Linked DNA regions of Tamandua tetradactyla. The protein of the gene in region 3 interacts with the protein of the main gene of each other region in a pairwise test. Links are inferred from orthologs where the notes say so. Each region holds a gene or a part of one and is shown on either strand. Other genes may lie near its edges.

Region 1 (7,771 bases), on a different chromosome or scaffold from region 3:
AGTCCAGTAAACCAGTCAAGACCCACCCAAATGGGTGGAGACACGCCTCCACTTAATCCAGTTTAACAACCACTCTTGATTAAATCACCTCTCCAGGGAGATGATCTGATTACAGATTCAAATATACAGTATTGAATAGGGATTATTCTGCCTTTATGAAGTGGGTTTTGATTAAAACATGGCTTTTCTAGGGGACAAACATCCTTTCAAGCCAGCACACAGATCTATACATGCTAAGTGAAAAAAAAAAAAAAAAAAAAAAACCCGATATGCCTACAGCCACAAAAGCTCTATGAAACACATCTCCCCCCAAAAAGTTCAGTGGCTTTAAAACAGCAACCATTTATTCTCATGGATGTGGGATTAGCTGAGGGTTGGCTGATTGGGTTGAGCTCAGGTGGGAAATTTGTCCCCCACATCTCCACCGTGGGGTGTGGGCTAAAGGGGGAGCAGCCACGTAGGAGAAACACTTCTGATGATGATGCCAGCGCATGAAAGTAAACATGCAAGGTCTCCGAAGGCCTAAGCGTAGAACTGGCAAAGTTGTCACGTGGCCAAGCCCAAAGTCAAGGCCAACGAATCTTCAGCCCACCTCCATGGAGAGGTGTTTCCTCACTTGTTTTACTTCAATGGGCGCACACACTCCTATATCAGCACACAGCCCAAAGCCGTGGAAGATCTCTGGAAGGTATGTGAGAAGGTATCTAGGGATCAAGAAGAGATGAAGATATGTCATTGGTAACAGAGACCATCAGGAGTTAGAAATAGGGTAAGATAATGGGTAATTGGAGCTGAAGGGATACACACTGTGCAACAGGACTAGATACAAAAACTCAAAAATGGACAGCACAATACTACCTAATTGTAATGTAATTATGTTAAAACACTGAATGAAACTGCATCTGAGCTATAGTTTTTTGTTTGTTTGTTTTGTTTTTTATATATATTTTTTGTATTTTTTATTTTTAATTTTTTCTCTATATTATCATTTTATTTCTTTTTCTGTTGTCTTGCTATTTCTTTTTCTAAATCGATGCAAATGTACTAAGAAATGATGATCATACATCTATGTGATGATATTAAGAATTACTGATTGCGTATGTAGAATGGAATGATTTCTAAATGTTGTGTTAGTTAATTTTTTTAATTAATAAAATAAATAAATAAATAAAGAAGAGATGAAGACCTACTTTTCACTCCTTTTATATTCTGTGAATTTCTTTTTCTGACGGTGCATAAATTTTTCAATTAAGGGGGGAAAAATAAGACTTTTTTTAAACTGGCCAAACTAAGGGACCGGCAAAGCCTTCCTGATCAAAATGGGGGAAAGAAGTGTAATAAAATAAGGCATCAGTGGCTGAGAGACCAAATGGAGTCAAGAGGCTATTCCGGAGGCTACTGTTACCTGAGCGTCGGTTGGAGAGTGCTGATTGCCATGGTTTGCTAACCCCCAACCAGCATCACTCCTGTTGACTCTTCAGAACACCTAGGGCTGGAGCGGAGACGCTATAAAAGTTTCACACACTAATTTTGACTTCCTGGAACCTATAACTTCCAGAGGGTTCCCGGGCCAGATACATCCTGAAACACCAGAGGGACCAGCCTCTCCAAGGTTATCTTAAGTACATCCCCCTATCCTTTAGTGTTGAGACTCCTTCTCAACATGAAAAAATCAGAACCAGCATTACCTAAAGATCCCTATAGATTGGGAGAAGGAGCAAAGGAGAAGGAAGAGGTATGACAGAGAAAATAGGATTTAACAAATAAATATGACTGCTGAATCACTACACTGATTTTAGCCTCCGGTGTTTTGGATCCGCTAGAAGATAAAATCTGAAATATGAAATAATGGAGTGGTAGCCCCTGACAAACTCTGAAATCTATTCTGTTGAAGTGCACTTTGAAAATTGTTGCTTTTTCTTTCCTTTCTGTGTATATATCTTTCACAATTAAAAATGTTAGAAAATAAAAAAAAACTGGATGAGAGGTGAAAAAGAAAATCCTTGACCCATCCACCCATTTTCCTGAGTTGGCAAACTGAGGCCTTATGGAACAGGATGGGGTGTTTGTTGACTGCCTTCTTGGATATGGACTTGGGTAACCTATTTCTCCTCTCTGAGCCTCAGTTTCTTCATCTTAGGTGGGACTAATAATGGTACCTACCTCAGGTGACTATTGTATGGATTTAATGGCTCTGCTACTACTTGGCTGTGTGACTTTAGACAAGCTACTCAACCTCTCTGTGTCTCGTCTTCTTCATCTGTGGAATGGGGATAATCCTAGCACCTGCCTCGTAGGGTTGGTAGGAGAGCTTGGCTCAGCACCTGGGTGTGGCTAAGAACTCAGAAACACCAGCCCTCATTGGTGTGAGGGAAAGTTGCTTGGCACAGGGCCAGCCTAAAGAGATGGTTGCCTTAGTTAACTTTCTTCTTTCAACCTTTCCCTCATTGAATCCTTCCACAATACTGTGTGGTAAACCTGATCATCCCTGTTTTTCAGAGGAGGAAACATGGGCTCAGAATGAGGTCATTTCTTGCATAGTCACATGACAAGGAAACGACAAGGCCAGAATTCAAACTCAGATCTACCTGGCTCCAGGTCCCTTGGCCCCCCCACCCCTCCCCACACACATGTAGTATCTGCTGTGTGCCACCACCGTCTCCTAAGCCTTTTCTCGGGATGACTCGTTAACCCTCACAACAGCCTGATAAAGTAGATTACCCTCACAAGTCCTGTTTTACAGATGGGGAGCCCGAGGCCCAGAGAGGTTATCTCCCGGCTCCGGGACACACAGCCAGTAAATGGCCGAGCTGGGATTTGCACCAGTCTATCACCCACCCTGCCTTGTGTGCAGAACCAACATACAGTGTCCTGAGGCCAAAAGCATGGGAGTGGGTGTAAGGAGGGGAGCTCAGCTGTCCCTTTATCCCTCCCAGCCCCCTCTGGAAGAGTTAGATTGTGCATTCCATCATTTAGGCACCACCATTCTCCCCAGTGCCTTCACTTGTACTTGGACGTGCTAGGAACATGGCAGTGATGGGAGACAGACTTGGTCTTTCCTTTCCATAGGGGGCTCCTGTCCCGTGGTGTAAACAGACCCATTCCTAGACAGCTACAACCCAGAGTGGGCAGGATTGGGATGGGGGAGATCAGGAGGCTGCAGGACCCCCAAAAGGATGTCTGACCCAGCCTGGGAAATCAGAGAGGGCTTCCTGGAGGAGGAGAGGAAGCAACAGGTTGGCTGTGGCTCCGTGGGAGATAACTGACCTGCGCTGAAGTCGGGAGCCTGGTTCACGGTCCCAAGGCGCCCTCTGCTGGAAGCAGCCCCTAGTGCAGATGCTTGGAAAAGCGTGAGTTGAGGTAAAAATCCTGTGCACCAAGCTTGGACCATTTTATGATTCTAGGGTTTGATTCGTTTAGTCAGTCACTCAACAAATATTTATCGAGCACCCAATAAGCTCCAGGCTCTGTTCTAGTGCTAAAGATAAACTTCTGACAATACACAAGGTCAGGAGCTGACAAATTCTAGAAATGGAAGAAAATGTACCAATAATTATAATAGTATACAATCAGTGCTAACATTTGCTAAGTGTCTCCATATGCCCGACCCTGATAAACGTACTGTCCATATGTAACAATAACCCTTTGATTATTCCTATTTTACAGAATGGAAAGTGAGGTATAGAGAGGTAAAGTATTACCCAAGAACTGCACAGTCCGTAAATGCTGGAATCAGGATTTGAATCCAGAGCCCATATTTTTAACCATCATATTACCTCCCCTCTCTAATAATCTAATATAATATGATAACTGAGATGATATATGATATAAATGTTATAACATAATAAATGTGAAATGATGTGTTTATAAAATAACTTCAGGCCCTAGACAATTTTGTGAACAAGATCAAGCAGGGAAATGAAGTAGTATTTTGGTGGGAAGATAATTTAGACGGAGTGGTCACTGAAGACTTCTCGGAGGAGGCAACCTCTGATAAGAGACCCGACCACAGCGAGATCTGTCCGCAGATCTGTAGGAAGACGGTTCCAAGCAGCGGGCGCAACCAAAGCAGAAGCCCCGCGGCCGGCATAGCGCAGCGGCCATGGATCTGGGATCCCAAGCGTCCGAGATTCCAAGTTTCCGAGACGCTAGCTTAGCCGAGGCCCCTCTTTTCCAGGCCCCCAGCGCGCTGGGATCATCCTCAGACCCGACGTGCACCGACAGTTCTGCAATTCCCGCGGGGAGGCGCAGCGGGTCTACACTTTTCTGGGCCGGGGGGGCGGGGCCGGCCTCACCTGCGGGGGGCGGGGCTCCCTGGCCGCCCCGCCCCCCGCAGGTGACGCCGCGGTCGGAGACGCGGGACTCAGCCGGGCTCAGCGGGGAGCGGGGTGCGGCGCGGGTGGGGCGGGGCGCAGCGCGGCGAAGCGGATCCCGGAGGCGTCCGCGGACAGGTGGGCACAGGTTGGCGGGCTGGGCGGGCCGGGAGTCCCGGGGGACCGCGAAGATGGGGGTGTGGGAGGGGCTGCGGGGGCGGAGGGAGAGGCGCCGGGCTGGGCGCCCTCCTGGGCACGCTCCCCTGACGTCGGGGACGGGCCTCGCGGTCCCTGAGCGCCCCCTGCCCCGCCCTGGGGTCGCTCAGGGGGGTTTGGAGGCCCGGCCCGCGCCGCACCCACTCCCCCGCGCGCAGGTAAACAGCCGCGAGTGCAGGGCGGGGCCTGGGGAGGGGGTGCGGGGCAGGGGGAGAGAGGGAGTCCCTTGTGACGGGCGGGGAGGCCGGGGCGCGGGGTACTGGGCCGGCCCGCCGGGAGTAAGGTGGTGCGGACTTGCCGGGGCGGCCTGGAGCCTCCTGCCCGCCTGTGTGTCTGAGAGATGGTGCCCGAGGCCCTTGGGGTGTGTACGAGTGTGTGATGGTATAAGGCTGTGGGTGTGCGTGTGAACGGGAGAGGAAGCGTCTGGGTCACCGCCTGCGGGTGGAGGGCGTGCGTGGATGATGTGGGTTGTGTGATCCATGAGGTGAAAATGTGGATGACCTTCTGGTTGTGACTGATGGTGTGTGTGTTGGGAAGTTGGGCTGTTTCTAGGACTTTGTGTAGTGGGGCTGGTCAGCTTTCTGCTGATGGCTGTGTGTGTGTGTGTGTGTGTGTGTGTGTGTGTGTGTGTGTGTCTCGGGAGTTGGGCTGTTTACGGGAGCAGCCCTAGGTCAGGATGAATAATACAAGACTAGGCACCGTCTGGTTGTGTGTCTCTGAGCAACGCCTGTGTGCAGCTGTGTGTGCGAATGTGAGCAGGAGGTGTGTAACCGTAGGTTTGTGCCTGTAGGATGGTGTGTGTGTGTGTGTATGTGTGAGGGAACTGGGGGAGAGGTGGTGGCATGTCCCTGTGTGTGGCTGATGGAGGCTGGACTGTAGCATGGGACGGTGTGCGTGTAACTGTGGGTGGGTAGAGTGAGGGGTGTGTCTGTGTGTGTGTGGAGCGAAGGCAGGGAGGAGCGTGTCTGCACGGAGGTGCTGTGCCGCGGCCTGAGGCAGTGTCAGTGTGGGAGACAGGGGGGTGGGGATGGACAGACTGAGGGACGTGTGGGCGAGACAGTCCCCTGGCTCCCATGGGAATGAGGCTGGGATGGGTGTGACAGGGCAGACGCAGGTATCCGCATTGGCGCTCTGCATGCAGGGCGTGATTGCCATCCTGTCACCCGGGTGGCCGCCTGCTGTGGGGGCTGGATGAGGGGGACGGTGTGTCTGGAAACAGAACTCTGCAGTCACCCCCCGGGCACATGCAGCTCAGTTATGGCTGAGATTGCATATGACCTCGCAGCGCACGGGCTGAGTCCACAGGACCGGGCGACGCACGGTTGTGGTTGTCGGGGTGACTGCTGAGGAGCCTGTGCGGTTGGGTTTGACTGTTCGTGTGGTTTGTGTGAGACGAACACACACGTACACGTGTTGAAAGAGGGAGAGAGGTGGACCGGCAGCCATCAGGGCACAGAATGCCTGCAGGGCAGCCCTCCTGCCTGCGTGTGTCCAAGGGTGTGTGGTTGTGATTGTGGAGAAGGTGCCGGCCTCCCAGGCTCTTATGGGGTCCCTGTGGCTTCAGTGACATGTGCTGAGTGTGACTGTGGAACTGCCTTCTCTGAGTGTTAGCTGCCATCTATACTGGCGGAACCTACTTCCAGCAGGGGGAATAAGCTAAGTAAGTTCAGGGGTGACTTGCACGTGTGGTGTGCATGTGCACATGTGTGTAGGGGCATGAAGGCCTGGCTGGCCAGGCGAGGGGGCAGGCTGGAGAAATTGGGGGAGGTGGAGACCTGTCCATGAGGAATCTGGGGGAGAGGGTCGGAGGGGGCGTTGGCTGCTGGCGGCCCTGTGCAGGCGGGAGGGGGCATGGGGCATGGGGGCAGGTGAGGAGGTCCAGAGACCCTCGGAATATGAGGGAGAGGGGATTTACTTGGATCTTCCAAGATAAGGGGAAGGGGGAGGAGAGAGTTTCTGCACGTGTTGGCTTTTACGTTTAGAGAATGACCCTGAGTGTTGGGTTGTATTTCCAGGAGGGGAGAGTATGGTGTGTTTTTTCTGAGAAGAGTGTGTGTGTGTGTATGACATTAGGTTGTATCTGTGAAAGGAGAACATGGTGTGCATGAGTGTGTGTGTGGCATTATATTTCTAGGATAGTGTGCACTCGGTGTGTGTACACGTTGTATCTGGGAAGAGAGTATGTGTGTGTATTGTGTGGTGTTTCAAAGAAAGGAGAGAGTGTGTGTGTTGGGTTGTGTTTTGGAAAGGAGAATGTGTTGTCTGAATTTCTGAGAAGAGAGTGGAGTGTGCGTGTGCATGTCGTGGTATGTTTCCTGCAGGCCGTGTGTGCATGCGAGTGTGTCTCTGAGGGTCACACAGGCACCAACAGCTGGGATCGGTGACCTTGAGCCACCACTACCACCCGCATTAGAACCTTACCCATTGCAATCAGGGCCTCGGACCCTCGGCTGTCATGGGGCCAGTGTGACATCCGTGGGCCACGCCTGCCACACGCATGTCCCCACACGCCCTGGGCCACTGGGCGTGTATGTGGTGGAGGGTGGGGGCCCTGCTCCCCCCAGGTCTGTCAGTCTCCCCCATCAGAGCCACATGGGGGCACAGATCGCCCCCCCGCCTGGTCCCCCAATCTAGAGAGCTCCTCTACTTCCGGCACCCCAGCCTCTCAGCCCTCTCCATCCCACCCCGCCCATGCCAGTGGTCTGACTGGTTTCCAGCAAAAACACTCTAACAATGAGCTCATGGAGAGGCTGCCGCCTCCATGCTCCCTGCCTGGCTCCACGCCCCACAGAGGAGGGTGCCCGGTCCAGGTCCCACAGCTGGGAGTTCTGGGTCAGAGTATCCAGAGTCCTTGGGGTGGGGAGGAGTGGCCAGGTGAGCCAGGGGAGGTGTGGGGGCCACGAGCCTGCTGCATGCCTCTCTTGGTTAATTACACATGGCGGAGTTTGGACCTGTCCCCAAAGCTTCCAGAATGTTTCCAGATAAGGGCTGTCTAGGACAGGTGTGGAGGCAGGGGGCTGGCTGGGATGAGGAGGGCCTAGTGGCACAGGGAGAGGTTGCAGTGGGCTGGGGGGCGTCCTGCAGGCTGGAATGGGAGTGGAGGCAGGGGGGTGGCAAGATGGGGAGGAGTTGGGGGTGTCTTGCCAGCTGGGTTGGCCATGGGGAGAGGGGGCTGGCACCGACTCCCCCAACCCTGGCCACCCCCCAGGAGCAGCGATGTCGGTGCAGGTGGCAAGTCCTGG
Region 2 (7,425 bases), on a different chromosome or scaffold from region 3:
GCGGCGGGGCCCGCGTTGGCAGCGGTGTGGCTGGGCCCATCGGGGACACGGGCGGCGCGGCTCAGCTCGTCGTGGATGCGGCTGCGCTGGCTGTAGACGCGCTCCAGCTCCCGCCAGGAGCCCCCGCTCGCATTGAGGAGGCCGCTGAGGCCGCGCGGCAGCGGCGGGAGCCCGGCTAGGGCGTAGCCCGCGCCGCCCGGCATCTCGACCGAGGGCAGCCCGTTCATGGCCGGGACGGCGCGGACGGCAACGCCGCCTCCTTCCCGCCAACGGCTCCGGCCGGCCCGCCGCCCGCAGGCCCCGCCGGCCGAGCCCAGCAGCCGCCCGCAGGCCGCGCTTTGTTCCTTCCCCGGCTCCTCGAACTCCGCCCCGCCCCGCCCCCTGCGGAGGGGGCGGGGCCTCCCTTAAAATGGCAACGGCCGTGGGCCCACGCCGCACTAAAGGTGAGATCCGGAATAGGAGGTCGGGCAGAAAGAGCAGGAAAACGATGGAGGAGAGGGGCAGACACCAAAAGGGGCGGGCATGGTTTCCTGATGGTACTCCTTGCCCTCCTCCCCAAGCTGTTCTTAATCATTCTGTCCAGTTATTCTCCCAAGGACATAACCTGGTACACTGCTACACACGCATCATTAGGTGAGAAGGACCAAAAGTGGGAGTCAGGAGATGGCTCGATCGTGCAACTTGATGTCAGGGTCACCACAACCTCCTGCAGGGTATGACTCTATGGGGCTGGCATGAGGTGGGAGAGGATATGGGCTCAGGATGCAAAGGGGATCGAGATCTCACTCACAGGCAGGTAATGAGCAGTGGAGGATGGGGTGCTGCCAGGTCCAGGCTGGTGGCCCACCCATCTTCCTCTTGCCTTTGAGGAAGCTGTGGCCCACACCCCAGAAAAAGGGTTCTCATTTTGTCCATTCTCTCCCCCTTCACCTTCTGACTGGGGAATCTGAGCAGAAACAAGCTCACAACCCATCTCTCAGAGACATCAAGGAAAGCAGATGGGGGAAGGGTGGGAGGCCAAAAGGAGGAAAAAGACAAGTGGAGCTGGGGCTGGGACACACACTGAAAACCAAGAAAAGAACCACACACATGAACAGGTGTTTTTCTAGAGGGTTTTTCTCAGGGGTGTCTCAGTGCTGCAGCTGCTGCAAGCTGTGCAAGGCCTCAGCACAAGCCCGGATCAGACCACAGAGCTGGATGCTCGTTTCCAGGGAGGCGCTAGAACCCAGCTCAGCTGAGGCCCAGGTCAGCTTCTGCAGAAGAGCCCCCTGTGTGCAGGCCAAGACATCTGCATCTGGAGGCACTGCCGCTGGGGGTGGCACCTGGGCTGCCTTGAGCCCTGCTGCAGCTCCCTCACAGTGCTCTGGCCGGGGTACCGGAGGCTGAGTAGCAGGTCGACAGCCTGAGGGGAGCTCCAAGGCAGAAGCCAGCTGGTGCTCCCGAGCTTGGGAGAGGGCTGCCTGGGCATTCAGAGCTAAATGAGGAAAAAGCAGGTGGAATGGTCAGAAGTCCTGGCCCACCATAGCCCAGAGCCACCTTCTCTCTTGACTGCTCTGCTCTTTCTGTTCTTTAAGTATTTTCTGTACTCCTCTACAAAGCAATTCATCCAGTCTCTATTTTGTGTCACAATTATTTATGTCCTTGCTTTATCTCTCCCATCAGGACTTTGCCTGATAAAGTTCAGACTCTCCCACTGCGTCTCGCATACAGGAGGTGCTAAGTGTTCTTACTGAATGAATAGTCCTCTTTAGAGCTAAAGGAGAAAGCACCTTACCTCTGCCCACTCCCAGACTCCACTGTCACCTCTCAGACCTACTGTCCCCAGGCCTCCATCGCCACGATTCTTTCCTACCAAGCACACTCGGGCCCTCACCCGGATTATCTTTATCCACGTCTGAATCGAGCTCCTGACAAGCCACACAGTAGATTTTCCGCTGTTTGTCTTGGAGGAGGATCGTCTAGGGGTCAGAAAGCACACGGGGCAGGAGTGAGGCGCTGGGCGATAGGGTGCAGAAGGAAGAGCTGGGGAAGGGCCCAGCGGCCAGGTTCTCGCCTCACCCCGCAGTCCGCGCACGTCTCGCCCAGCATGCGGTAACCGCGCAGCAGGTAGTCGCCCATGAGCCGGGAGATGCGATCCTGTCGCTCCCGTCGCGCCTGCAACACCTTTGTCTCCGCCTCCGTCGGGGGCTCCCAGGAGAAGTCGTCGACTTCTGGAGGAAGAGAGGCATAAGGGGCCGGGGGCTCTTGCCGGAACGGGCTGACTCCAGTACCCCGCAGCCACAGGCCCCCGCAGCCTAAGTCCTCACCAGCGCCGTTTAGGGCCATGTTGCCGTTGTCGCCGCCGAGCTCACCGGAAGTGACGCACAAGCCCTGCGCCCTCCGCCGCGGCTCGGGCGCCTCCATGTGGGGCTGAGGGCGGAAATGGGGCAGCCGAGGGCGCCTCAGGTCGCGCGCTGCCCTGAGTGGGGCGTTTCTGGTCGCAGACTTGACCGTGCCTTGGAGGAGCGCCCGGCAGCTGCAGCCCAGTGGGCGGCGACTTTTCGACGGTCGAGGCCAGCGGAGGAGCGGAAGTGGTAGGAAACACCCTTGGCGTGAGAAATCCGCCTCCCCTGGGGTTTTTCCTTTCCGGATAGGCGGGGCGAGCAGCGACGTCATCGCAACGACAAACGACAGTCATAGCCACGAACCGCCCCTGCGCGCGCGTGGAGCCTGTCGGGCCTCCGTGCTTCTCACTTCTCCATCGGGGCGCTGGGGAAGGAGGCCGCCTATTGCTTGGTTGACCATACGTTTTGGTCAATATGTGTGCTGTCAATTCACTTGAAATTCCCGCAAATAGTGTTAATCAGGCCGTTTAAGAGCCTCATCCTTCCGCCTACAGAATTGTCAGCATCCCTTCCTCATTGCCTGAACTGTCAAGGAGGGTGAAAGGTCTGAGATTTTATCCTACTTGCCGGCTAACAAGTTAGCCTGCAGTTTAATGGATGCTGGCACGAGCTTCGAGTCTCCTGGGTCAGAGACAAGGAACTTTATTACTCACTCATAGCAAGCAGCATGAACAGGACCATATTTGCGTCAGTTCCCTTTACCCTGGAGTCTTAAGAAGGCAGTGCTGGTGGAACTAGATGGACCCATAACCATGGGTTATGTTACAAGAGAGGAACCCTGTGCTTAAGGAACCCAAATATTTTATAATGGGCTTTAAGTATATCTGCCCTTGGCTCTAGAGCACCAACGACGATGGTCAGGCTCAGATGAGGGTGTGACAATTACGTCGTGGCTGTCGGAGGCTGAAAAAGTCCAAACCTCTGCTCCCCAGTCAGCTGATCTGCACACCATGACTCCTGCAATGGCTTTACCATCAAGACTTCTGAGAACTTTCTATGTGCTATCCCTTGTCAAGAATTGTGTGGAGAATGCCCTGAGGGAGCTGGGTGCTGGGGCAGTGGGTGCTGGGGCAGCTGCACCCTCCTGCAGAGGCTGCCCAGAAATGCACCTTAACCAGGAAGCAAAAACTCTCCTCCAGCCTTGCCTCTCCAGCGCCCTCTTCTGACAACACTTAACATTGTGTCAACAGCAAAAGAAAACTAAAGGGCCCAGGTCCGAATGCACAGAGCAGAGAAAGAGAATAAATTTGGAGCTGAGAGACAATAAATTAATAATTGGCACAAGATCATTAGTATCATTTTACAGGTGAGGAAACTGAGGCTCCAGAGAGGGGCAGCAGCTGATCCAAGCCTGTGCTAGATTTTGAATTCAGGTCTGAACCTGAATTCACAGCTCTGCTCTTCAAAGCGTTTAGAAAGCAGGTTGCAAAAGATTATCTATGGGGGGTGCACAGGTGGTTTAGGTGGGTGCACGGGTGGTTCGGTGGTAGAATGCTCACCTCCCATGTGGGAGGCTCAGGTTCGATTCCTGGACCATACACCCCACCCAAAAAAAAAAAAATTAAGGAAAAAAAAGATTACCTATGGTACAATTTTGTGGTGATAATTCTATGACCCATAAATGTGCATATATTCCCCAGCCTGGAGGAATACACACCAAAGATCAGTGGTCCCTTCTGAGACATAAGGATTACAGGGAGTTCTCCTTGCTGTATTATTAGGTTGAACAGCATGAAGTTGCTGTGTTTGTAGGTTAAAACCAGTCAGATATTGGTAATGCCATACAGTTCAACATATTTATTTTTGTGATGTAATGTCTGAAGTTTTCATTATGAGTAAGGCCTCCCTCTGACTTTTGTCTGTGGTTGCATATTTTCCCTCATAATAAACTAGAAGCTTTAAGTTTAACCAACAGAGATCCAAAGACTTTGGGGGAAAATATCTGCTGTTTAACCCACTGAAATATACCAAGAACCACTTGTTAATTGGCCATGATTTGTTTGTGACCAACCATAGGAGAAAACTGTCATTCATGTTCTTTCTGCTTGTTACATTTACACTATGAAATACAGTTGTTCTATGAGGATGTTATCTTTTTATAGAAAAACTGCCATAAATCGATGGTAGAACTTATGCGACAGTTGATCAGATTTCATTTTCAAAAGTATTTGAATTATGTTTTGTCCTAATTTTATGTCTCAGTATTGAGAATTAAAACAGTTCAGCGTCTTCACAAACCGTAACTTTAAGGGAATAATTCTTTTGCCATTATTTCCCCCAAAAAAATGGTTCTGTGGTTTTTGTTTGTTTTTGTTGTTTATTAGTTAATTTTAGCAAATATGATGCCTAAAAAAGAAGGTGCTCGTGATTCAGGCCTATTGTGGTAGGCAAGAGAATGATCCCAAAAGATCCTAATTCCTGGAACCTGTGACTATGTTTCATGACAAAGGAGGAATTCAGGTTGCTAATCGGCTGACCTTAAAATAGGGAGATTTTCCAGGTGGCCCAATGTAAATCGCAAGGGACCTTAAAGTATTAAACAGCTGAATATACGTTCCTCTCAAGTGCACAGGAAACATTCTCCAGAATAGACCATGTGCTAGGCCATTAACCAAACCTAAACACATTAAAAAGGATAGAAATTTTACAAAATATGCTCTCTGAGCACAGTGGAATGAAATTAGAAATCAGTAACAGGAAGAGATTTGGGAAACGCACAGATACATGGAAATTAAATAACACACGCCTTACTAACCAGTGGGTCAAGGAATAAATCATAAGAGAAATTAGACAATACCTTCAGGTGAATAAAAATGAAAGTACAACATACTAAAACTTAAGGGATACGGCCAACGAAGTGCTTAGAGGGAAATTTATACCCATAAGTGCCTGTATTTAAAAAATAATAAAAGATCTCAACCCAATAACCTAACCTTCCACCTTAAGAAACTAGAAAAAGAAGAGCACACCAAGCCTCAACCAAGCAGAAGAAAAGAAATAATAGAAATCAGAGTGGAAATAAATGAAATAGAAAAGCAATAGAGAAAACTAAACCAAGAGTTAGTTCTTTGAAGAAATCAACAAAATGGACAAATCTTTAACTAGACTGACTAGTTCAAGCCTGGGTCAGCCAAAGGACACAAACCTTGTGGCTTCAGCTGGAAAGCCCTGTGGCTGAATCAGAGTTCCCAAAGGTGAAATCCATGATTTCACTGATAATGGCCTTGTCACCTGACAGAGGAGTTTGGATGGTGATGTTTTCAGCTAACAGTGGAAACATATCTGGCTCACTCAGGCAAACGGCCACAGCGAGAGCCAATTTACTGATAAGCCCGGCTGAATTCAAGCTGTCGATGGAGTCGGCACCACTCACAGCCTCACCATATCTGCCTGTCTCATCATCTCTCCAGATTTTTAAGGCAAAGGCTACTACTGCATGCCAGGCAGTGATTCCTGCCACAGGTTGGTCTGTTTCTCTTGCAGTGATGGAGGGTAAACAACATTGCCACTTTCTACTCCTGACAGGTTGGCTTTATGGGACCTTTACCTGCCTCCTGGGGCTCTAGACAGTGTCTCACCACTGTTGTCTGTTTTCCAGGTTAAAGTGTTGCTGTTGCAGCACAATCAAGCAACTCAGGCCACCTCCTTGTGGTTCTTACAACTACACTGGCATGTTTTTAGGTTTCTGGACCATTTCAAGTCTAACAATGGTGCACCTTTTATCTCAAGAGCCTTCCCTTCCCTGCCTCAGATATATGGTCTTGTTAAGCCTTGAAACGGCCTCTGCAAAATCTACTCAGAAACATTTCTGGCTTCCCCTCTCTCATCTTCTCCTGGTCCACACACCTCAGTGAGGCAGTTTGATCACTGAATGTGGCTGTCCCAGGGAAGGGATCATCTCTTCTTGGTCATGTTACGGGAAACCATCAGGATGAGAGGGATGAGAGTTTAGACAGATCAGCATTGACCATTCCTGGGCAGGATGCTTTCTTTACCCTAACAGCAGCCCCTGGCCAGCCTGGGTGGTAAGCCCTGCACATGGGAGCCCCATCCTTGGAAATTCAAACTTAACTGTGGTCCAATCACCTGGATTCTCTTTTTGGACTGACATGGTCCTAGATCGGGAGGATAAGTGGGCCACCTGGTTGAGTACCCCTCTCTCTGCGTTCCCCAACAGTGGCCCATATGTAGAGTGAGGGACGTGGGTCTCTCTAAGTTTTATAAACGCCCTTATCCTTGTTGCACCTGGACCTTCTGGATGCAAAGTCTGGGATGATTGAGAAACAGGTGAATTTATAGCTCCGGAATGGGACATATGGATTTTGTGGCAGGGGAGAGAACAACCTCAGTAGCTGGGTAAGGAACACTCCAGACTCTGGGAGATGGAAAAGGAGGGACATTAATGGCCATTGTTTTCAGAACCACCCCTGGGGACATCTTACCATGAATACACCTAGGTCCAACTCTCCCAAACCACTGCAAGTGCCTTAAACTTAACTGACTAGGCGATCTGTCAGTCTTCCACTAGACAGTTCTGACCCTGAGTTGATTGTTACTCACTGAGCCATGTGGAGACGCTGGAAAGAGCAGGGAGAAGCCTTAGCTCCTGCCCCACCCAAAAAAACCATCTGTCAGCACCAGATGTCTTCCCCACCCTATTTCCATAGCCCTCATGCAGTCAGCCCGTGGAGTGGACAAATGCCACCTAGCTGGTGGCATGGACAAATAGGTCAGATTGGACCATCAGCCCTCAGTATCCTCCAAAAACGAGAACTAAAACTCAATTGTTCAAGTCGAACTGGAATCCTAAGGCCACGCTGGAGCACTGCCAACCTGTGTGTCCAAATGATGTCAGGGGACACAGGTTGACAGACACCTGGGGGAAACCCATGCCTCTTCCCTGGATCCTACGTGTGCTCCGAGCCTGGGCTATTTGTGTGGAATTCACACATTAACCTGCCTCTCTCCCAAAAACAGTGGCTTGAAATTTGTTCCTGACTTTAGCAGACATGATCACACCTTGGCCTGGAAGACATTTAGG
Region 3 (8,258 bases):
CAAAGAAGGAAACTAAGTTTCAAAAAGGTTAACTGACTTGTTCAAGCTCACACATCTAATTAGGAACTGGGCTGGATTCAATTAAGTCCTGCAGGTACATTTAATAATGCTTTCCTTCCACTACAACCAACGAAATAGCCATTCAATATTTTATGATACAAAAAAAAATTCATTTTCCATATTTTAAAAGCTTACTTTTGTCATTTATGTAAAACAAAAGTCAAAATTTTTTATGAATCATAAATAAGCATGTCATATAAAGACAAATTTCACCAAAAACTTCAACAAAGGAGTAAGTTTCTTCATCTGGAAAGATCATTTAAACCTATTACCTAATTTCATAGTCCTTTTATCAGAAAATAGAGCCAAACCTGGATACAGAAACTAATCATGTATATCTAAAATTCTTCCTGCATCTGATTTCTCACATGAAGGTCTGGTAAACTAAGAAAAAGAAAATACTGTGAACACTTTGAGACTTTTTATTTTCAAAATATCTCAATTTTTTTCAACTATAAAAATGGAGATTATTTCCTAGGGCAATATTCCTATTGGTCATAAGTTAGTCACTCCATTTAATATTAACTTTAAAACTTAACACTTTCACTTAAGATAAACAATTTTATTTGATCTTCACAACATATGTGTGAGATAATAAACTAGGTAAAAATACTTTTACCCCCCCTTTTTTATCTTTACTCTCAGCTTTTCAATCTCAGCTGTACTATAAACAACTGCTCAAACAAGAATACACACATAAGAACAATTATTGGCACAGTATATATATATATATATATATATATATATATATATATATCCATGAAGCAAAATGTTGTTTCTCACCACTACGTTTCCCACTCAGCAAAAAATAAACATCAACAACAAGGTCCACAGAACCAAGATTATGATATAACCATAAAATACTTTTAGAATCAAAGCCAAATCTCCACCTTTTATCCATCAAGGTTAAAAATTATAAAACCCTTATGACATGAGCTTCAACTGAGGCATATTATAACATAAGTTGGGTATGACAGAGTTGTAAAAGCACTAGTCTATGTTCTATTGCTATTAGTTGAGAGCTAGAGGGAAAAGAAATTTAATTTTCTTTCTCCATAAAATGAGTATGTCATGACCTATTCAGTAGACATCAAAATTCTTTTGACTACAAAATGAGACCTGGGACATTTTTTAAGATCCAATATAGGAATTAATGATTTCAGGAGTTTATTGAAAAATATGTAAAGTGATGACAACCGCTGAATGAATACATAAATTAAAAATACATAAATAGTTATATAACTAGGTGCATTTTTGAGAGAAGAGTAGGTACAGAATTGAGTTGTAACATTAGGAAAGGGAGAATTTGAAGAGGTCAGATTCCATAAACCAGCTAACAGACCATTATTTCATCTCCTCCATAACTTACCACAACAGACCTTGGCATTGCTGGCTTAAACACTGAACAAAATTCCAGTAATCTTTTTTCATAGTATTTGCAGAGTGTCATTTCTTCGTGAGGCTCAAGAAAGACTGGATCATTTGGAAGAACCTTTGGATCAAAAGTTACAACACATTTTTATTGAATTAATCTTAAAATATTTTTCTCTGTCCTGATTAATTTTAAGGTATGTCTCCAACCAAAAGGAAAGCCTATCATGCCTCATTTTTTCTATATGGAATTACTAATTATTATACAAAATAGCTTTAGGAAGACATTTAATGAACTAAATCTATACCTCTATTTCACAATTTCTCAGAATGTCAGCTGGCCACTTGCTTCATTCAAGTATAAGCAATCATGGTGGTGTGTGCGCAAACGCTCACAAGTTTAATGTCACCATTATTAAAAAGAAGATACACATTTACGAAGGTTGAGAAGCTTTCAAGATCGCTTTTGGGTCAATCATTACAGCACACAATTTTAGGCTAAAAAAACAATAGCCTAATTGTTTTTTCAAGGTCAATAGTCTTGAGGATAATCCTGACCTTGAAAACTTACCTCTTACATATCTTTGTAAACCCTCGACAGAATACAGGAGGTGGTTAAAAAATATTACAAATTTGCAAACATTGATTAGGTGCTAGTTTTATAGAGACGATGGTATTCTGATACTATATCGCTTGGATTTAAATCCTGACTCCACCTCTTACTAGCACTGTAGCCTTTGAAAGTTATTTACTACCTCACTTTCCCTGTCTGTAAAATGAATATAATGGCATTATTTCATGGGGTAAGTGTAATGGCTAAATACCAGTTGTATTTTAAATGCTTAGAATAGTGGCCGGCATAACACAATATGCAATATTTTGTGTAGCATGAGAATCGGTGATGTGAAACAGACGTGAATAAAAAGATAGATGTAAAGTAGCTCAGTACTAATACTTCCGCGGCATCAAATACTAGCTGAAGGCAAGCTTGTGTTAGAAGGCAGTGGGGAACTCCTCAAAAAGAGTAAGCTGAAGAGGTGGTTGGGAGCTGTAACAGGAGGGACTTGTCTGACGGGCCACAGTCCGTCCAAACCATCAGTCAACTGGTTTATTATGCCAACGTTCTCCTGTCTCCCAGACTCCACTCTGCCTTATCCAATCCATTCACCACCCTGTTGACATAGGGCTCTTTCTAGAACAGAAACATAGTAAGGTTAATTTCCCATTTTAAACACTCCGAATTTTCCTTCAGTATGAAATGCAAACTCTTTACTTCCACTTATAAGGTACCTCCCACACCTCCTGCCATTCCTGCACGGGTATATCAGCTTCGGCCAGAAAAGACAACGAATATACCCCGAACCCACTCTGCAGCTTCTTTCTCCCCTGGGCACCGGTGGCTCCGCCCACCTACAACGCACTCCTGCGCCTCAGCTACCGCGAGAAGCCCTCCCCGACACCTCCACAGGCCAAGGGGGCGCCTCTCGCCTCACACTGCCTTCGCATCCGGCAGTCTCTCGGCCGTGTTACAAGGACTGGTCACTCGTCTTGTCTGCCCCTCCACTACAGGGACTGTGTCGTCCGACACTGTACCCAGAGCACCTGGCAAGGTTCTTGGCTGTAAACTAAACAGATCAGGCACACCGTGTCGCTGAGACAGAGGCGGGAGGGAGCGCGGGATGCCTCGGGTTTAGGACGCGGAGTTGGGGGCGGCCGCCCGGAGCCTCACCTTCCCGTTCGCCACGGCTTTGCATTTGAATTTGCGGTTAGCGTCAGCCCTTAGTCGTGCCAGCTGCTCCTCACTGGCGAAAGTCCAGTGCCGCTTTTGGCTACTGTTGTGATACATCCTGGAGCCCGACTCCAGGATCTGGGGGCGAGAAAGAAAAAAAAACAGAACAGCAACACTGGCTAAGCTACCGCCATGATCCCGCGAAAGCCAAGGGCGCCAGGCCAGACGGCGCAGGCGCACTGACGTCACCACCACGTGCCGGCCCGGCGCTGCAGTTGTGTTTCCGGAGCTTGCACTGTCGCCTGGCAGCCGTCTGTGACGTCAGTGGGCGGGGTCTACGGAGACGCTCCTTCCTTCCTACAAACTCCGACCCTAGCCCCGCCCTCTCCAGGCCAGAATTAAAGGAGAAGCAACAAGGCAGGGATGGGTGAAAGGAACCTGCATTGAGGTCGGGGGAAGGCTGACTGAACCAACTCACATGGGATAATTAGAAGTGGGGAAATGGGTTGAGAGGGTGTGAGTTTTTAAATAAGGTATCCAGAGTAGGTGTCGCTGAGAAGGTGACATTTGAGCAAAGATTTGAAAGACTTGAGGGAGTAGGCCAATTAGTGATTTAGGGAAAGTTTATGGGGCAGAGAGAACCGTGCAAAGATGATAGGACTGAGGCATGCCTGGCTATTTTAGGGATGATTCTGCAATCCAGTGTGTCTAGTACACTACCGTGCATCTTGGCCCCAGAGAGAATGCAACATGGTCGGAAAACTAGAAGCTGTAGCTTTCTGTCCATCTTTACAGTTCCACTGTAAGTGAGATTCCATCTATTCTCTTTCTGTGACTTTCTCATTCCCTTTGTATTAACAGCTAGCTAATCTACTCATCCTATTTCCATCTTTTAGGGCACGATGTATGGTGGTTGTAGCGTTTTCTTGAGATTCCCATCTTCATTATTGTCCTGGGAGAGCTTTCCAACAAACTATAATTAATGTTTAAGAGATTTACAATTTTTTAGAAATTACTAGGCCTTTCATAATTGCATCTGAGATACTAATTTACACTGATTCCAAAAGTCGTTAATGGTTTCCACATTTATCCCTTTTTCTGTGTAACTTATTCTCCTGTGAATCAACAAGATGAATTTACCTGCAGCAAATAGTTTTTCTAAAAACAAGTGAAAGCAAATAAAGATGATGAAACCCAGAGACTTTAGCTCTTGAAAAGCACAGGCAAGTAGAAAGAGGTGGCAGGCAGGGTGACTTCAAGTCTGCTTTCTAAGAAAATATTTTTAGAAGTTTAAGAAAAGAAGAGCCTTTTTTCTTCTTGATTGTTTCATTTTTGCTGAGTACCATTGAGGGTAGGGTTTGCTACAGTTATTTGAATTCATCAAATTTATATCATTTGTAGTTCATAATTTTGGAGATGTAGACATCCTTGGACACAGAGTACCGACGTGTCCAAGGGTTTGCTACAGTTATTTGAATTCATCAAATTTATATCATTTGTAGTTCATAATTTTGGAGATGTAGACATCCTTGGACACGTCGGTACTCTGGGCTTGCAAATTGGCAGAGAAAAGAGGGAAAAAAGAGGAAGAAGATGGGATGGTATGAAGTAAGCACGTGATAGATCATGAGTCCAAGGAATTGTGAACACCCTAAATTGTATAAAAGGGCAGGAAGAATAATTTTAAAAGAAAAATCAGACAGGTACACAAGGACAGGAAAAGAAGGCAATTTAGATAATTGAATCTATGTATAAAATTTAGATCCCTGACAATTACATACACCATATTGTGCTGAATGTGATGGACCCCAGAAAAGCCATATCCTTTAATCCTCTTTCACTATTGCTGACTGGGAGCATTTTGACTGTTCCCATGGAGATGCAACCCACCTAATTGTGAGTGGTAACTTTGGATCAAATAGCTTCCATGGAGTTGTGACTCCATCCGTTAATCCTTTAAAGAGGAAACATTTTGAAAAGAGTCCCTTCTTAGAGCCACAAGGCTGAGAGAACCACTGAGTCCACCAGCCACTGACTTTTGGAGATGAAAGGGAGAACACCCCTGTGAGAGCTTCATGAAACAAGAAGCCGGGAGAGAAAGCTAGCAAATGATGCCATATTTGCCATGTGCCCTTCCAGCTGAGAGAGAAATGGTGAACATCATCGGTCTTCTTGAACGAAGGTATCTTTCCCTGGATGCCTTAGATTGGACATTTCTATAGACTTGCTTTAATTGGGACATTTTCTCGGCCTTAGAACTGTAAACTAGCAACTTATTAAATTCCCCTTTTTAAAAACCATCCCATTTCCAGTAAATTGCATTCCAAAAGCTAGCAAACTAAAACAGATTTTGGTACCAGAGGAGTCGGGTGCTGCTGTGGTTTGCAAATATCAAACATGTTGGAATGGCTTTTTAAATGGATAAGGGGAAAATTTTGGAGGAGTTGTGAAGAGCTTGATAGAGAAGCTAGAATGCTTAGAAGAGACTGTTGGTAGACATGCGGACTTTAAAGATACCTGTGACCAGGTATCTTTTTGATTGGAATTTGACTGGAAGGCAGATTTTAAAAGCCATAAACTTGGATATTTAGCAGAAGAGATTTCCAAATTAAATGTGGAAAGTGCAGCCTGATTTTTCCTCCCAGCTTATAGTGAAATGCGACAGGAAAGAGATAGGCTGAGAAGTGAACTCTTGGGTACAAAGGACCCAGAAATTGAAGTTCTGAAAAATTCTGGGCCTCCAGAAAGGGAAACCCCAGAGGATAGTGCCCCACGTGAGGATTTAACCAAATGTGGAAAGAGCCAGTCATTTCAGAGAAAGCCAGGCCCGGACATGGAGTTATCCAGGAAGGATTTGTGGAAATTCCTTATGTTTGATGGACATGATCCAAGGCTACTGCATAGAAAACCAATGAGAGTGTTGCAGAATCTGTATACAGAGAACCACTGCCAGTCAAGACTGAGAGGGACAGGGAAGGACACAGTGAAGGAAAAATAACTTCAGAGGCAAAGCCATGGAGGCTAGGGTCTGAAGTCAAGAAGCCTCAGGACAGGAGAGTGGACCCACCTAAGCACGTGAAGAGGGTGAGTTTGTCCCAAAGGCAGAAGATGGGCCCTCCATCTTGTTGCAGTGGAAGAATCCTCCCTCCTCAGGCCTTGGAAAGGGCAAAGCACATTCCTTGGAGTTGGGGAGAGCCGGGCTGCCACTACATGGAGGGGTTGAGCATGTGCCCTGGAGATGGCAGAGAGCCCAGGTGCAGCCTCAATGCTTGGAGAGGATGGAGCTGAGAAAAAGGTGGTCACCCCAATGTTCCTCAAGGTTACATTCAGAGAGAGGCATACCACTGCTTAGACCCTTGGAAAGTGTGGGACTGCCATTTTCTAAAACCCAAAGGATAAATGACTCTTAGACTTTGAAATCTAATGGACTTTGCCCTGAGTGTATCTGAAACTGTTTGGGTCCTGTGACCCCTGTGTTCCTTCCAATTCTTCCCTATGGTAATGGGTATATGTATTTTATGACTATTCCTCCTTTGTATGTTGGCAACAAATAACTTGTTTTGAGTTTTTTTTTTTTGAATCTTATTTTTCTTTATTCTAGACTTTTCATTGTTTATAGGGATTTGTGCTCTACAGGTTCTTTATAATTGCTTTTTTTATTAATTAAAAAGATTAACTAACAAAACATTTAGAAATCATTCCATTCTACATATACTATCAGTAATTCTTAACATCATCACATAGTTGCATATTCATCATTTCTTAGTACATTTGCATCGATTTATAAAAAGACAACAGAAAAAGAAATAAAACAATAATAGAGAGAAAAGAAAAAAAACCAAAAAAACAAACAAAAAACCACTATATCTCACATGCAGCTTCATTCAATGTTTTAACATAATTACATTGCAATTAGGTAGTATTGTGCTGCCCATTTCTGAGTTTTTGTATCCAGTCCTGTTGCACAGTCTGTATCCCTTCAGCTCCAATTACCCATTATCTTACCCTATTTCTATCTCCTGATGGTCTCTGTTACCAATGACATATTCCAAGTTTTTGTTTTGAGTTTTTACAGGTCCAGAGCCACAGGAGGATTTTACCTTAGGACAGACCATGCCTGTAACTAACTTTGATGAAATTCTATACTGTGTCTCACTTTGTATTTTTATTCTTACTGAAATGGTTTAAGGCTCTCTGATATTGTTATGGAATGAATGTGTTTTGCATTTGGAAAGAACATGTCTTTTTGGGGTTCAAAAGGTGGAATGTGCCGGTTTGAATCTGTGATAGACCCCAGAAAAGCCATGTCCTTTAATCCTCATTCAATATTGCTGGCTGGGAGCATTTGGATTGTTCCCATGGTGATGTGCCCACCCAATTGTGGGTGGTAACTTTTGATCAGATGGCTTCCATGGAGTTGTGACTCCACCCATTAATTCTTTAAAAGATGAAACATTTTGGAGAGAGTCCCTTCTTAGATCCACAACATTGAGAAAACCACAGAGTCCACCAGCCAGTGACTTTTGGAGATGAAGAAGAAGAACGCCCTCATGGGAGCTTCATGAAACAAGAAGCCGGGAGAGAAAGCTAGCAAATGACGCCATATTTGCCATGTGCCCTTCCAGCTGAGAGAGAAATGTTGAACATCGTCAGCCTTCTTGAACCAAGGTATCTTTCCCTGGATGCCGTAGATTGGACATTTGTATAGACTTGCTTTAACTGGGACATTTTCTTAGCCTTAGAGCTGTAAACTAGCAACTTATTAAATTCCCCTTTTTAAAAGCCATCCCATTTCCAGTATATTGCAGTCCAGCAGCTAGCAAACTAAAACGCATGTCGATTCTCTTCATTTTATTTTTCTGAAGGACATTTGACAACTCCTTTAGTTTTATGTAAAGGGAAAGAAAAATTAGCATTTGGGGGAAATGGCAGAATGTAATTTCCACAGGGGAATGGGTAAAATTGCGAACTGTCATATTCATTTAGGAAGACAAATATGAAAAACCTGGTGTCACTGGTGTAACTATTTTTTACATCTTAAATGAATCCTAGTCTTAAATAAATATTTAAATTGACCATATACAGAAAAAGTTGATAC
Region 4 (8,656 bases), on a different chromosome or scaffold from region 3:
ATTATGATCACTCAGCAACTTAGTTAGGAAAATACAGCATCTCATTTTGGAGATGAGGAATCTGGGAGTGAAAGGAATTATGCGTTCTGTTTAAAGTCACACAACTTGTAAGTGATGAAGAAATTATTAAGAGCTGATTACCTAATACTAACTCCAAGTTAGCACATGTACCTAGAATTCACCAACTCTCCTCCATTTTAACCACACTGATTATCCACATTCACATAGTCCTCTGGAGTAGAAAAAAATCATTTGTTGGAATAAAAAGATTTCAACCATTATATCTCTCGCTTGAGACCCCGCACTCCATCATCACTGATTTTCAAAAGACCAGAGCCACCATTATATCATGTCTGGATTACCACATTTCACCTATTTTCACTCTTTTTTTTGGGGGGGGGGGGGGGCGGGGTTGCATGGTCCAGGAATTGAAGCTGGGTCTCCCACATAAAGAGCATTCTACCACTGAACCACCTGTCATTTCATCTATTTTTAAAGGCACGTTTTTACATTCCTACATCTGAAATTGTGTCTTACAACTGATGTAGTCAGATGACAACTGTGACAGATTTGTCATTGCTATAGATAGGGAATATTTAATAAATGATTCAAAAGAATTAGGCTCTGTACATGAAATAGTTTTAGGAATAACAACCAATTTATGTTTTTTTTTTACAGTATTTTCCTTTTGAGTATGCATAAGAGTGATATATAATTTTTAAATGCCTAACTGAGTCTAAATATTAAAGCATAAATAAAAATTCCAAGTGTACCAGTTTGAAAGTATCATGTACCCCAGAAAAGCCATGTTTTAATCCTGATCCAATCTTGTGGGAACAGCCCTTTCTTTTCATCCAGATTCAAGACTATAAATTGGAATCTTTTGATCAGATTATCTCCATGGAAATGTGGCATGCCCAATTGTGGGTGTGACCTTTGATTAGAGGGAGATGTGACTCCATCCATTCCAGGTGGATCTTAATTAGTTTACTGGAGCCCTTTAAAAGAAAATATTTTGGAGAGAGCCATAAAGGACAGATACAACAGAGTCAGCAGAGAAAGAACCGACAGAAACTTCGGAGCAGAGCTTGGAGAACAGAGACCCAGATGTTTGGAGATGCTTGGAGCCCAGCAGATGTCACCATGAGATGTTAAGCAAGCCAGAACCTGGAGAGGGCTAAGGGAAGCCAAGAAGGGAAAGCCAGTCCCAGAGAAGTAAAGTGAGGAACCCCCACATGGACAGAGACTGAAAGCAAGAGAACCCCGGATCAAGGGACCCAGCAGATTCCAGCTACATGACTTCCCTGCTGAAAAAGGCATTCCAGACCAACTGACCTTTCTCAAGTGAAGGTAACCTCTTAATTTGGACACTTTCACTTCCTTAAAACTGTAAACTTCTAACTTATTAAATTTCCCTTTTTAAAAGCTGTTCCAGTTCTGGTATATCACATTTTGGCAGCTTGCAAACTAACACACTAAGTAATATCAGTCAATTTTACCACTTAAAATTTCCTTCACAACAATCTCCAAGAAAAAAGCATTTTTACCTTTCAGATGGACAAAGATCAAAAGACTTGATGTTTCACATTACTGGAGACCATGTAGGCAAACAGGAACTTTCTGCCATGCCAGTGGAAGTATAAATGGAGAGTAACTTGGCAACAACTGCTAAAATTTACAAATGCACATACTCTTTGACCCAACTATTCCACTTCTAAGAATTCCCCCAAAGGTATACTCACACGTGGGCAAAATGGTTGTTAAAGGTTATGCCTGTTTGTAAAATACTGAAATTTAAATGCCCATCAAGTGTGAGACAGATTAAATTACTTACGGTATTTCATAAAATGGAATATGTAGCTCAAAAAAATGTAAAGATGTTTTTTATGTCCTGATATGGGACAATCTTCAAGATGTTTTAAGTGAGGAGAAAAACAAGGTGCAGAACAGTTTGCATAATATGCCATCGTGAATAAAAAAAGAGAAAAAAGCACGCACAAATGTTTGCTTTTACATGCATGAAGTATCTCAGAAGGATAAGAAACTGTTAACATTATTGTCTCCAGGGAAGGGTGCCCAGGTAGCAGGAGTGCAGGGAGAATTTTCATTTAATATCTTATTCCCTTTGAATTCTGAACCACATGAACATCTTATCCAAAAATAATTAAACCGATGTTTCAGAAATTTGTAATGTCTTGGAACAAATCCAAATTCCTCTGCTCTTGGAATTCAAGCTCTCAATTTTATCCACCACTATCTAAATGTAAACATTTAGAACAAGTGCTGGCACACATTAAGTGCCAATAAATTAAACTTCCATCATTACCCCCAACCCAGTCATTACCCCCTTAAAATGACTACTTAAGAATTTCCTAATACTCATCAGAATTTTCTATCTTATTTGCCTTTGCTACACAACCTATCCTGTCTTTCCCCTGGGAATGGCCCAGGAATTCTTAAATCATAACCCTCTCTCCCCATTTCTTCTCTTCATCAACGACCCACCCCCCCCCAAAAAAAAAAATTGAAAATAATCAGCTCTTCCTCTGTAGTCTGATCTCTTTCTTAGTACAAGCCTCACATCCTAGTCTGTGTTACAATTATCTGGGTATCTGGCTTCTCTTCCAGAACTGTGAACTCCTTAGATGCAGGGACGTTGTCATTTATCTGAGTATTCCCCCCAAACCAACACATTGCCTACAAAATGAACCAACCAACACATGAAAGAGTGAAGATTTGCACGCCATCAGGGGCCTGTCTCCTGACCCAAACTCTCTCCAAATCAGGCCTCGCGCGGGATGGGGGTGGAAGGAGGTTTTCGTCGTTAGATGGCATCTATCCTCTCCTGGGGGCCTCGAAGAAGAGGGACAGCGAGGACAGGCTGGGAGCGAGGCAGGGCTGTTCTCCCCAAAGACCTAACCACTCACCAGTGGACCAACACCGTGCGGCCCTCGGCGCGGGCATGGCCGATGAAGGCCACGCAGCGGTCCAGGTGACTGAGCAGGTCGGTCTCGGGTTTGTCCAGCGCTGACACGAAGAGGCATCGTACACCCTCGACCCCAGTCCCCGCGGTGAAGCTGGGCGCCTCCGAGTCCACAGTCAGCACGGCCGTAATGCCCACCTCCCTGAGAAGGTCAGGATTCGCGACGGCCGCGGCCCCACCCAGATAGAGCCCCGGCCGCACTTGCCGCATGTGCTCCGAGACACAGGCCTCGCCAGAGCAGGGGCTACGGCGCGGGATGCCATGGCACGGGTCCTGAGCCTCCAACATGGCGGCGCCCAGTAGCCAAGCGGCCGCCGTCCCTACCATCGAGTGGAGCGGCTGGCTAGAACATCCCTCCTTTGGGACCCGCCGACTGGAGCGTGGCAGCTGCGCCACCGGAGGACCGCGAAGACCCTGGGAATGTGAAGTTGCAGGAGCAGTTAGCGCTGCTGTGGCAGAACTAAACCCTATTCAGGGCGACATGTAGCCGCGGTCACAGTTCCTCACCAACCCTTCACTCCTTCCCCCACCCCGCATATGATGATAGAGGATAAATTTCCCCATCTACACAGTTTCCCCGGCTTTTCGTGTTGAGACTTTCTGGAAGGGGACAGCTGGAGCAGCTGCATTCAATTTTGAAATAAATGTCTCACCAGCAGAATCAGCAGCATCATGTCATGCATTTGAAGTCAAACGTTTTTTTTAATGCCTATATATCCATTTATTTGTATTTCGTCTCTTGCATTTTTCCTTTTTTGGGGGGCGGGGGGCCAGTTTTTTTATATTGGGATGTTAATCCTTTCCTTGTTGATGTTTGCTGTTTTGTGTTTTATATGTGCTTTTGTATGTCAACGCCTTCCAGCCAGAGACCATCAGGAACCCACCTGTAACTGTACTGAACCTTGGGACATATCGGTAAAAGGGTGTTTTGAGGTCTTATTGTAGAATTTGGGCTTGTGTTAGGTAATTTTGAGGAGTTTTTTTAAGGAAGCAGTGCTTTGCTCAGAATTGAACGCTGTCAGGAAGTTGAGGTGATTCTCTGACTGGGTATCTGAATAAATCTTATCTATAGGAAGGGTAGACTCCAGAGAAGCTAAAGCTATAATTGGTCAAAAAAAAAAATAACAGTCACTCACTTTAGCCACGAAAGATCCATGGTTGGTATTTTATTACTTAAAGGACATTATGCACTTTCCTCTCAACCCTATTCCCTTTTCTATCTCAAAAGCTTTCCCTAAGTTAGGTTCACCCAGAGCCTTTTCAGGAAGAGTCACAGTAGCAGTCTTCTGGTTAAATCAACACAATCTTTCTCACTTTTCAAACATGAAAACACCTGGTGTCAGACACTAGCGTAGATGCTGAGGATGTGAAGAAGATTAGAGATCTTTGCCCTCAAAGAACTTAGAGAAAGTTTGGGTAGACTATAAGTAAATAGCCTAATTAGTGTTATGATACAGACAAGGACAAGGCTCTAAGGGAGCACATGGGGAGCATCTAACCCAAATGCCAAGTGTCTTAGTTTGCTAGGACTGCTATGATTAATTCAGGCTGGTTGGCTTAAACAAGAGGAACTTATTGTCTCCCCAGTTTCAAGGGCTAGGTGTCCAAAGTCAAGATGTCAGTAGGATCATGCTGTTACCAGACAAAGGCCACGGATTCTTTTGCCCGATGTACTCAATCACCAATTCCTGAGACACCAGGGTTTGAGAGAGAGAAAGAGTTTATTACTAGGCACATAGTAGGAGAGCAGATGGCCTAGCGGCCCAGAGTCTGTCTCCCCAAACTGCAGTAATTCTGACAGTTTTATTAGAGAAAAGCTGGGCAGGGTTTAGGATAATGAGTACTGTGGCTCCAGATGATGTAATGAGAGGTGACCTAATTATTGAGCATGTGCAGATCAACTACATGCTTAGCCATGGGACATATGTAAGAAAATGGCAGAATGAGGTCTAAGTGACTAGTAGGGTCAAGTCTAAGCTACTGCGCATGTCAGGTGGGCCCACTTTGGTTAGATCCAGTCTCGGTTATCAAGACTACTTTGGACTTGGGGTGGGTTAGTTCTGGGCTGACCCAAGACCCTTCATTAATAAACATTAGGAGCTGTCTTTAGTGATTACAAGATTCTAAAGTCGAAAAACTGGATAACTAGGTGTTTTGAACAGTGAATAAAGAAGTATTTGCAAAGTCCCTTGGGGGAATGATGAGAAAGGGGGAAAAATACAACTTCCCCATTTGGAGAATTCCTGATATTCTCGCAAGCAATGGGGAAAGCCAAATCAATGGGCGGAGCCCTCAATTTTGGGGTTTGTCCCTATGAAACTTATCCCCGCAAAGGACAGGCTAAGCTTACTTAAAATTAGGCCTAAGGGTCACTCCCAGAGAACCTCTTATATTACTCACATGTGGCCTCTCTCTCTCTCTCAGCCAACACAGCAAGTGAACTCACTGCCCTCCCCCTTTCTACATGGGACATGGCTCCCAGGAGTGTAAACCTCCCTGGCAACATGGGACAGAAATCCTAGAATAAGCTGGGACTCAGCATCAAGGGGCTGAGAAAACCTTCTCAACCAAAAGGGGGAAGATAGAAATGAGACAAAATGAAGGTCAGTGGCTGAGAGATTTCAAGGTTTCAAGAGGTTATTCTGGAGGTTATTCTTATGCATTATATAGATATCTCCTTTTTAGTTTATGGTGTATTCCTGTGGCTAGAGGGAAGTACCTGAAACTGTAGAGCTGTGTTCCAGTAGCCATGTTTCTTGAAGATGATTGTATAATGTATAATGATAGTCACGATGTGACTGTGTGATTGTGAAAACCTTGTGTCTGATGCTCCTTTTATCTACAGTATGGACAGATGAGTAAAAAATATGGATGAGAAATAAACAAATAATAGGGGGAACAAAGGTTAAAATAAACTGAGTAGATTGAAATACTTGTGGTCAATGAAAGGGAGTGGTAAGGGGTATAGCATGTATGAGTTTCTTCTTTTTTCTTCCTTTAGCTGGAGAGATGCAAATGTTAAAAAAAAAGATCATGGTGATAAATACACAACTATGTGATGATAATGTGAGCCATCAACTGTATCCATGTCAAGAATGTTTGTATGTTTGTTTGCAGTTTATAATAAAAATATTTTTTTTAAACTGGATAACTGGCTACAAATGAAGGTTAGTCGCCAGGTTTTTACAATCACAGGGGCAGAAGATAAAGGCTATATAATCATTATCAGCAATCAAGGCAGCTGGGTTACAGTTTAGAGATTTCAGGAATTTCCCTGTCTGCTTCAATAAACCAGAAAACAAAAAGGAAAATCTATATAATGATTCAGTAATCAAAGTCATCCCTTAAATCCTGATTTCTCAGTGAAAATGCTTTCTCTGAAATCTGTACCATTCAGGTGGTGACTGGCCTGCAATCCATAACTCAATCTCAACCTCTATTGTCTCCTTCTGTCTCCTTCTCAGTCCAAATTTCCCTTTCCTGTAAGGACTCCAGTATAAAGAGCTGAGCCCCACCATATAGTGAATGGAGCCCCCCTCCAGCCTAGTGAAATTGAGGTTGACCTTAAAACAGTAAATTTTGGAAGACCAATGAGTTCACATCCACAGGACTTGGGGTTAGGACTTAAACATGTCTTTGTGGACAATATGAGTCAATCCATAACAGGGATGGCTTCCCAGACACCAATCTTTGGCTTCTGAGATACTAATCTTCTTTGTTATCTCTTTGGCTACAATTTCTCAGTTTCCTTTGTGGGCTCCTTTTACTTACCTGACTTTTAAGTACTATTGTTCTCCAGCATCAGCTTCTCAAAAAAGAGTAGCCATCAGTATGTGAGTGGCTTAGGATTAATGAGATTTGTTTTTCTATGGTTAAGGCCCTGGGTCATGCTGTTTCAGGAAGGGGCTGGAGACTGTTGGTGCTGAGGTCATCATGCCGGCGCTGCTTTTCTGAATGACTATAAAAACCCTGGACACCAATGCTTGGGTGAGTTTGCCCGGTTGGCAGTACTTTGAACATGTTTCACACATTGTTGCTGGAAGAATTAAGCACAGCCCTGTGTGACCTCATTGGGAAGGGACACCTGGAAGCTTGTGCCTGGACTTCACCCATGTGCCTTTTCCCTTTGCTGGTTTAATAAATATCCTTTTGCTGCAATAAACTGTAACTTTGCAGGACAGATTTTCTGAGTTCTGTGAATCTTCCTAGGGAATCATTGAGTCTGGGGGATCCCGTGGGTGTTCATATGGACCCTGTGCTGGTTTGAAAGGATGTATGTCCCCTAGAAAAGCCATGTTTTAAGCAAAATCCCATTTCATAAAGGTAGAATAATCCCTATTCAATACTGTATGTTTGAAACTGTAATCAGATCATCTCCCTGGAGATGTGATTTAATCAAGAGTGGTTGTTAAACTGGATTAGGTGACAACATGTCTCCACCCGTTTGGGTGGGTCTTGATAAGTTTCTGGAATCCTATAAAAGAGGAAACTTTTTGGAGAATGAAGGAGATTCAGAGAGAGCCAGAGGATGCTGCAATACCATGAAGCAGAGACTCCACGAGCCAGCGACCTTTGGAGATGTAGAAGGAAAACGCCTCCCAGGGAGCTTCATGAAACCAGAAGCCAGGAGAGAAAGCTAGCAGAGGACGCCGTGCTCACCATGTGTCCTTCCAGATGAGAGAGAAGCCCTGACTGTGTTCGCCATGTGCCTTCTCACTTGAGAGAGAAATCCTGAACTTCATCGGCCTTCTTGAACCAAGGCATCTTTCCCTGGATGCCTTTGATTGGACATTTCTATAGACTTGTTTTAATGGGGCCATTTTCTCGGCCTTAGAACTGTAAACTAGCAACTTATTAAATTCCCCTTTTTAAAAGCCATTCTGTTTCTGGTATATTGCATTCCAGCAGCTAGCAAGCTAGAACAGACCCCAACACAACATCTATCCAGCAACGTTGTCTATAATAGTGTAAACTGGAAAGCATCTAAATGACTACCCATAATGGATTGATTAAATATGGTGTTTCAACCACTCAACAAAATACTAGGTGACTATTTAAAGACATAACATGTGAACTGGTCCATGCTAGTTATATTATTAAAAAAAAAAAAAAAGGGCTAGTTTACAAATAGAAAGTATGTTTGAGCCCATTTATTTAAGAAGTACTTATGTATATGTAATATGGGAAAATATCAACTGTAGCAAACCGTTAGCTGGTTATTTCCAGGGGCTGGCATCATGAAGGAGGCTGTCCTGATACTTTTTTCTATGTAGATTTTATTTATTTCAGCCAGTAGGTATTAAAGTTATTCACAGCCAACAATTATAGATATATATATTCTGGAAAACGCAAAAAAAACTAGTAAGAGTTTATCTCCTGGTTGTTTTATTAACATACTGTGATCATTCCCTCAGTTTTATTAATGTTCTGTTTTGAAGTGGCTGTTCCTAAAAAGACAGCAAGATCCTTCAAGGCTGGGAGTAGAGGGCACATCTGAGTTATTACTGAATACTCACAGAGCCTGACTCTGTCTGCCTCAGTGAACCCCTCTGACCAGGTGAATGAAAATACCTCAATCAGCTCCTGAAGCTGTGAATTTAACAGCTTCTGTATTTGTGCTCTTAGCCACTAGGTGGCACCATTTGCCCCTTTGCAAAATTTATTTTTCTAAGC

Evidence for each region.
Region 1: the proteins of CCNH (region 3) and KLC3 interact in binary tests that used the Homo sapiens proteins (3 or more experiments, as listed by UniProt). The two-hybrid records come from large-scale screens. The link is inferred for Tamandua tetradactyla from reciprocal best matches to the Homo sapiens genes CCNH and KLC3.
Region 2: the proteins of CCNH (region 3) and ZNRD2 interact in binary tests that used the Homo sapiens proteins (3 or more experiments, as listed by UniProt). The two-hybrid records come from large-scale screens. The link is inferred for Tamandua tetradactyla from reciprocal best matches to the Homo sapiens genes CCNH and ZNRD2.
Region 4: the proteins of CCNH (region 3) and DUSP12 interact in binary tests that used the Homo sapiens proteins (3 or more experiments, as listed by UniProt). The two-hybrid records come from large-scale screens. The link is inferred for Tamandua tetradactyla from reciprocal best matches to the Homo sapiens genes CCNH and DUSP12.

Annotation. Positions count from the first base shown.
Region 1 is NC_135342.1:15,651,191-15,658,961, reverse strand, and holds the start of KLC3 (kinesin light chain 3), read left to right. Parts: upstream 1-4,347; 5' UTR 4,348-4,451; intron 4,452-4,789; exon of another isoform or gene 4,790-4,890; intron 4,891-7,737; 5' UTR 7,738-7,745; coding exon 7,746-7,771. UniProt on the Homo sapiens protein: Kinesin is a microtubule-associated force-producing protein that may play a role in organelle transport. Plays a role during spermiogenesis in the development of the sperm tail midpiece and in the normal function of spermatozoa.
Region 2 is NC_135335.1:8,948,855-8,956,279, forward strand, and holds ZNRD2 (protein ZNRD2), read right to left. Parts: upstream 2,647-7,425; 5' UTR 2,404-2,646; coding exon 2,307-2,403; intron 2,211-2,306; coding exon 2,059-2,210; intron 1,959-2,058; coding exon 1,874-1,958; intron 1,475-1,873; coding exon 1,131-1,474; 3' UTR 1,099-1,130; downstream 1-1,098. Other genes in the region: FAM89B (leucine repeat adapter protein 25), read right to left, coding at 1-227. UniProt on the Homo sapiens protein: Might play a role in mitosis. Antigenic molecule. Could be a centromere-associated protein. May induce anti-centromere antibodies.
Region 3 is NC_135347.1:43,869,303-43,877,560, reverse strand, and holds the start of CCNH (cyclin-H), read right to left. Parts: upstream 3,429-8,258; 5' UTR 3,278-3,428; coding exon 3,161-3,277; intron 2,624-3,160; exon of another isoform or gene 2,381-2,623; intron 2,359-2,380; exon of another isoform or gene 2,003-2,358; intron 1,553-2,002; coding exon 1,430-1,552; intron 1-1,429. UniProt on the Homo sapiens protein: Regulates CDK7, the catalytic subunit of the CDK-activating kinase (CAK) enzymatic complex. CAK activates the cyclin-associated kinases CDK1, CDK2, CDK4 and CDK6 by threonine phosphorylation.
Region 4 is NC_135330.1:14,810,582-14,819,237, reverse strand, and holds the start of DUSP12 (dual specificity protein phosphatase 12), read right to left. Parts: upstream 3,311-8,656; coding exon 2,928-3,310; intron 1-2,927. UniProt on the Homo sapiens protein: Dual specificity phosphatase; can dephosphorylate both phosphotyrosine and phosphoserine or phosphothreonine residues. Can dephosphorylate glucokinase (in vitro).